Tribolium castaneum: one gene and its partner. The protein of the gene in region 1 purifies or fractionates together with the protein of each later gene. This does not show direct contact. Links are inferred from orthologs where the notes say so. Each region holds a gene or a part of one and is shown on either strand. Other genes may lie near its edges.

The links.
Region 2: the proteins of Cont (region 1) and Nrx-IV purify together in Drosophila melanogaster (affinity purification with western blotting; 4 studies listed by BioGRID). This does not show direct contact. The link is inferred for Tribolium castaneum from reciprocal best matches to the Drosophila melanogaster genes Cont and Nrx-IV.

What each region holds. Positions count from the first base shown.
Region 1 is NC_087403.1:3,391,756-3,394,898, forward strand, and holds the end of Cont (contactin), read right to left. Parts: intron 3,135-3,143; coding exon 2,994-3,134; intron 2,950-2,993; coding exon 2,777-2,949; intron 2,730-2,776; coding exon 1,854-2,729; intron 1,802-1,853; coding exon 1,633-1,801; intron 1,584-1,632; coding exon 1,450-1,583; intron 1,406-1,449; coding exon 1,207-1,405; intron 1,140-1,206; coding exon 1,042-1,139; 3' UTR 742-1,041; downstream 1-741. UniProt on the Drosophila melanogaster protein: Required for organization of septate junctions and paracellular barrier functions.
Region 2 is NC_087400.1:9,577,501-9,581,773, forward strand, and holds the start of Nrx-IV (neurexin-4), read right to left. Parts: upstream 2,871-4,273; 5' UTR 2,718-2,870; coding exon 2,657-2,717; intron 2,156-2,656; coding exon 2,051-2,155; intron 1,997-2,050; exon of another isoform or gene 1,977-1,996; coding exon of another isoform or gene 1,155-1,976; exon of another isoform or gene 1,131-1,154; intron 1-1,130. Other genes in the region: L-aminoadipate-semialdehyde dehydrogenase-phosphopantetheinyl transferase, read right to left, coding at 1,155-1,976. UniProt on the Drosophila melanogaster protein: Seems to play a role in the formation and function of septate junctions.

The DNA of each region.
Region 1 (3,143 bases):
AAAATTGCTCTGTCCATTATTACGTCTTTCATTTGTAGCAGTCTGAGCGGAGCTTTTAAAAACGATTTATAGCCTTCAGCAACCTTAATTAACTCGTATAGGTCCAATCGTCGATACGCTCGATTTAATCTTATTGGAAAAAACTAATTTCGGCAATGGACACGTTCCTCTTTTTAATGATAAAGATATAACGCTACTGAATTCCAGTCCGGTGGATATTTTCAAAAGAAACCACAATACACGTGCACATCATACACAACCCCACGACAAAGGTTTAACACGAAAACAATATAATTGTTCCTAGGAATCTCAAATAATACAGTTCTGAAAATTCGATCGATCGCGATTTCAGGAAAAACGTTCTTATCTTTTTATTGCACACAAACGCCTGTTTTTGCAACTTTTATCCTTGTCTGTCTGCAGTGCTAAATAGACAATGAAGACAGGTGGAACTTTCACCTTCAAAGCAAAATTGAAAGTAATAAACGGGGCTTATGCTTGCTAGACTCATTTCAGATCAACGTATCTGCATTTGCAACCAGAAATTTTACTTTACTATTGTCTCACCTTCAGATTTTACGACAAATTTTATTGGGGAGAAGATTTGCTCCTAATTTAGCCGCAATAAAGTGCGCGTGGCGACACCTAGCAGCTATCAGGCGAGCCAGTTGGGGAGGATGCATGGACAGCTCCACACATTTATTAGAGGTAGTGTCAGGATTTCCGATTAAAACCACAATGTTTTACAAAAAATTTATTTAAAAAATTACACCGATACTCTGTATATTTCTATTATATAATAAAGATAAAAACAAACTACAACCTTGTGTTGGACGGATTTATGATTTATGATGTAAAAGCACAGAAAATTTGAACACGTCATTAGAAAAAATATTGCTAAAGTATTACATTTGATACAGGTACGTTTTACATAATGCAATCCTGTTAAGGCACAAGTTCAGAAGCCTCAAACGTCGGAATGATATAAAAATGATGGCCTTTTGACGAAGTAAACAAAATAAAACATAACAAAAACTGGACTCATGTTGTTAGTAGATAATGAAGCAGACATGCGATGACGATTGTTATTGTAAATGGTTTTAAATCCTCACAAGCACTTCGGTAATATGCAAGTGGACCTGCAAAACAATCACATAAGCGTGCAAGACTAAGCGAAGCCGTCCAAGTGAACGAATCAATTATTACTATTGCTAAACCCACCCATTCGGAACTTGACTTCGGGGGAGCTCATGCGGCCGTCGCCGCCGTTCGAGTATGCGAGCACACGCATTCTGTAGGTTTTGCCAGGCTGTAGGTTATTAACGTAGGCTTCTAATTTGCCACCGAATGGTTTTATAGTGTCATTCGCGGTGCTTATGTCTTGATCGAATTCCCATACACGAATCTGCAAATCGCTGAGTCAGACAAGCAAAACAACATACACCGTACCTTGTAGCCTTTGAGCGGCTCTTCCTCCAACGATGGTTGGACGTACCGCCACACCACTTTGACCGTCGATGGATTGATGCCATAGACATGAACCGACGACGGTGGTTTTTGTGGCGCCTTTCGGAACGTACGTTCTACACAAACAATTAGCAAAAAATCACGGAAGAGGGGGGAAATATTTACCGATGAAACGTTCACTCTCGGGGCCTTCACCGGCCGAGTTGTAGGCCATAACTTTGACGAAGTAGTACGTGTCGGGTTGCAAACCGACGATAAGGGCCCACGGCCGTGTCGTACGCGACAAATAATAGACACTTTCCTCCTCCTTGGTGCCCTTCTTCCAGTACTTGATCTATAATTTGCGCTAACTATGGAACAAATCTCGGCGATTTTGGTTTACTTACACGATGTCCGATGAGTTTGCCTCTGACTTTCTCCCTCGTCTGGTCAATTGGTACCCAACTGACATTAAGCGCCGTCGAGTTGAACGATCTAGCAACGACCAGTTGTGGCGCAACTTGCGGCATGTCCTCGGCAGAGTATATAACATGTTCTGGACTGATCGGCCCAGGACCTATCTGATTAATAGCTTGCACTTTAACAATGTATTCCGTGTAGTAGTACTGTGGCGGTATGTGCACTACCGCCATTCCCGTGTTCCCGAACTCCTTCAATTCCTGAGTCTGGAATTCGACTTCTTGGTCCTTCCGCTTCCAGAATATCCTGTAGTAAATGCCAGGACCGTTCTGCTCGTCTGGCTTGAGTGGCGACCACGTGATGGTCAAATCGCCAATCTTGCCGCCTCCACCGCCAATGTTATATGGGGCGATGTAGGGACGGTCCGGCGGCGTCGAATGCCGGGGGCTGGGGGCTGACGGGGGCCCCATCCCCCAGGAGTTCCAAGCGGCTATGCGAAACTCGTAAGTGGACCAAGGAGTCAAGGCAGTGTCAATCAGACTCTCCTTCTGGCCGGTGTATCTGTCAATCTCCCGCACATCAACAATGTAACTAATGTTGACCCAGGTCTGGTTCCAGTTCGTGCGACCACTGACGGTGTAACCCCGGATTTGGGAGCCGTGAGTGGCACCATCGGTCCATTGCAGCGTGAACGAGCTCTTCTGAATGGACACGGTGACGCCACCTGGCGGACCAGGAGGCCCCTCGACCACGACCACCGACCGAGATGAGATTTTACCAACGGTTGATTTTATAGTACACTCGTATTCCCCAGCGTCGGTAAACGTGGCATTTGTCACGGAAAGAAACCCACCATCGATTCGCTAAATTCCGCAATTGAGGACGCAATACACAGGTTACAGCTACTCACCAAACGATAATTCATGTTTTTGATGTCGATGTCGCGGATTTTAATGCCATTATGGCTCCAAACGTACGCAATGTCTAACATTTCCTCAGTCTCGGCGAGACATCGTAAGTCGAAGTAACGGCCGACCGTCGTCACAATTTTCGGAGTCAAGCTTTCAATCAAACGCGGGCCCCCTAAACCATCATTGCCATCAGCCGTACTACTGTACTAAACTTACGTAAAACGATCAAGCGTCCCTTCGATTCGTCCACTCCGAACTGATTAGATGCCCTGCACGTGTACTGCCCCTCGTCATCGCGGGACACCGAACTGATAACCAAATTACCGTTCTCTAAAATTCTTCGATGCCCCCCCGAACCTTTAATTG
Region 2 (4,273 bases), on another chromosome or scaffold:
TTCTTTTGCTGATGGGTTGGTCAAAAAATCATCAAATTGACATGAACTTTCACTCATCATAAAAAAATTATCGTTTCTATCTCAACGGGTAACGATACCAACCTATTAAATGTTCCTAACCATTGTTGCAAAGTAAAAAACACCGCAGTGCGGGAAAGTTCGTTTCCCACACGCTGGAGCTACCTTAAATATTTTAGATAGCTAAAAATAGCTATGAGTACAAAAAAGCATTTACTTCAGTTTATTCACACGGCCCAAATTATCTCGGCCATAGCAAAATATGAAGTTTTAAAAAAATACTTTTATTTTAAATTTTACAATTTCCAATGTATTCTAAAATAAACAATGATTAAATAATGTTTATTTGAATTGCTAATTATTATTTAATAATTTTTAGAAGCTAACAACATTTTTTTACAGATTTTTAACATAAAACAGTTAAGCTCACTTGTCCTAAAATGATGTAATGTTAATTAATTATAATTATAAGAAATTTTTGAACGATCCTGAAACTTGTTTTTGAGATTAGAACTCTCCTCTTCCAAAATTAATAACAGGTAACTTCCATATTATTATTCATTATTTATGAAGATTTTTCGTTATTTTTTTTTCTTTGATATACTTTTGGTATAACAGTTTAAAGATCTGTAATCATTGAGTTGAGTTATAAATGTAATGGTTATTTTAAACAGTGTCATGTTCAAACATTATTCGCAAAAACTTGTACAAAATTTCGGTAATGTGTGTAAAATGCCGCAATAGAGCAGAATAAATTCATAAATCCCTATTGTTTTAGCGACCCTAATAGTGAAATTATAATTTATCGGACTAATTTAACACAACAAAAAATAACTAACTACTTGGTAACTATGACTACCAACAATAAGAATAAAACACAAACAAAAAACGTTTCTTAAACTTTTAAGTAAAAGAAGCGATTCCCCCACATGAACATGAATGCGAACTTAATAAAACAAAATTTCCATGCAATCAATACTTGACAAACTAATCAAATTGCATGCAATCGGGTCATCAAATTAAAACATTGTGCCATACTACGAATGGTACCAATCGTAACAACCCTCGTAAAAATATCATGGAATGGTACGAAAAAAACAAACAAACAAAAATCCCCCAAAACCCACTTTATTACATCAACTTTTGTCACACTTTTTAAAAAAACTATTACAATAATCCTCGTCCGGTTCTAACAAAGCAACAGCGTTTTCCATAACTTCATTAAAACCAATCTCTTTGAAAAAAAATTTCTCGCCAGTGCTCGCCTCCGTTGCAACGGCAACGCAATGCTGATCATCCAAAAGCATCTCCTGAAACTCCCAGTCTAATTTTTCCCCTCTAAAATAAACCTCTGTATCATCAACGACCCGATCTTTCCTCAAAACATCCGAGTTTATTTTAAAACAAACATCTTGCAAATTTATCGTCACTCCGACACCTACAGCCTTCAGATAACTCTCTTTCAAGCACCAGTGTCGACAAAACATCGCCAGCTGATTTTTCTCGCTACCTTGCCCCCTAATTTTTTCCCACTCTGTTCCCGAAAAAATCCGCGACATTAATCTAAAATATTCACCCAAACTTTTACCCCTCGGAAACTCCACTTTGACCACATCTACCCCCAACAAACCCGCACTGTTACACCCAGCCAACACCGTGTAATCCCCCTGATGGGACACGTTGTAATTTATCGGAAAATTGTTATTTGTAAGAAACGGTTTGCCTTTTTCATCGCGCGCGAACTTAATTTCGTTATATTTGAGTCCGGTCGCTTCGTTAACGAATTTCCTCATTAACAAGCGACCTATTAACGACGATTTAACGTCATTTTTGAACACAAATCTCGCTAAGCGTTCTTTCTCCTCAACTTGGACACAAGACGTTGCTAGCAACATGTCTGAATGGGAGGGCTCCCATTTGGATAAATTGAAAGCCCAACGGACACTTTTATTCGACATTTTTGCTCGTTAAAGGGCACCTACAGTACCATTCCATTGATATTTCAACGATGGGAGAGGTATTAAAAACTTACCCCACAAAACGGCGTTTTCGGGACCCCTTTTCGGCATGGAAGATGTGGCCTTTAAAACGGCACGTTGTAGTAACGGGTTGTTGCATTCGTACTCATTGTAGAAGTCTAAAATCAAAAAATCAAGTGGGTTGAGGATGCAATGAAAAAATCGAGTGGGTACTTGTCAATTGACTATTTTCACAGCCAACAGTGGTTACGAATTTTCATAAACGGAAATAACAGTGTTTAAAATTCTAATTTTCTGATTCCTTGAACCGGTTTATCATAAACAGGACAGAGGTCAGTTCGATTCGGGATTAAAAATAGTGATTAAGTACGAAAAATCAATAAAAAGGAAGAAATATACATCCTTATTTACATTATCGGAAATAGATGTGCAAATTGAGACCGGTGCCAGGTCAAAATGCACTAAAATAAACCGAAAACTGTTTTAATTAAATAATTAAGGGGCCCAACATTGGCGATGCTCTAATATTGGTGAAGTTGCACCTTTTTAGGTTATGATTTTATGACCAATATTTGAAGCTCCCTTATCTATTCCTTATCAATGTTTTATCTACTTATCAATATCATAAACATTTAATGACAGTTGGAGTTGAAATTTACCTGCAAACACACTTTGTCCAAGCACAGTTAAAAAGAAACAAAGAAAATTCGTGATTTCCATTACTACATTCCACGATTTGGTACGAAATAATTACTGAAGTTTAATAAACGAACACTTGGTGTACACTGCAAATGAAAAAATTGGAAATTATTTGATCAAATCATGCTGATGACTCAAGCTGTAGTCAACAAACGACAGTTACACCCATTGCAGGGTCGCCAACTGACCCAGTTGGGAATTTTTACCAATGGGTGGCTCCGATTGGCGACATTGACAAGTGTGTTTGTTTGTAAAATACGAATTTTTGATTCTATGTTTTTTGATATCAGTTTTGAAAATTATTCATTATCTACTTCTTAAGATGATGTGCAAAATTGGTAAGTACAGGCAACCAGTAATACGTGTTGACTTTACATGCATTAAAAGTTTTCCAAAAGTATCTTGAAATTCGGTTATATTCGGGATAATTGTTCTCCTAGAAAGCATAATTGTAAATACATAATGATTTTTTGTATGACACTTATTTGTGAAGATATTGACTTCTAAAAATTTGACGAAATATGAGACAGTTTTTGGAAGCTTTTATTCAAAAAAACTGATGCATACCAGAATAATTAAAATAGTGCTTTATATATCTAGAAAATTCTCTGTGCTTTTTGATTCTGAAATCAGATTTGGAATTTGGAATTTTTTTCGTGTAGAAAACCGAAAGTGAAGTTTCAAATCCGAATTTTAGTAACTTGAACCATTTTTTTTTTCATTTTTTTTTATTTCAAAAAATTGCTTATAATCTAGGATTTACATTATTAGTCGCAAAATGGGATCTCTATTCCTATAGGAAATACAGTACTTAATGTACGTGATCGGCCGGTTTACGCAAGAAATTACGCGTTTTTGAGTACATTAAGTATTATATCTCCTAAACGAATAAAACTCCCATTTTGCGACTTGTAGTGTAAACTCTATTTACTTTAAGCTATTTTTTAAAATAAAAACAAATTTAAAAAAATGGTCCATGTTACTAAAATTTGGATTTGAAACTTCACTTTCGGTTTTCAATACGAAAAAATTTCAAATTTCAAATTTGATTTTAGAGTTACAAAGAACAGTGAATTTTGTGTATAAAACACCATTTTAAATATTTTGTTATATATTGTATAATTAGAAAAACAATTTACAAAAACGTTATGCTTAATATTTGGTCAATTTTTAGAAGTCAATAACTTTTTAAATAAATCGCTCACAAACAAATCATTACGTATTTACATTCACACTTTTTAAGAGAACAATTATAACCGAATTTCAGGTTGTCGCATTTATTTGAGTGGTCCGCTTCAAGTGAATTGCCCCACCTGTGCCACCGGATTTTTCTGTGTGTTGTCCTTTGAAGTGCGTGAAAAGTGTAGAAGCGTCAAGTTCATCCATCGTTATGGCGTACTCTTTGCAGGTTGGGTATATGTGTATTTGCCCAAACACTTCCTGGCCAGGTACCCACTGATGTAGTAAACGACGTTTTTCTTTGGAAGATCGTTTCCCCGAAAATCTGTGTTTGTGACCTATAATTTATACTTTTGGTTTACTTTCATGAAAACCATTGTGGTACAAATATATATTCG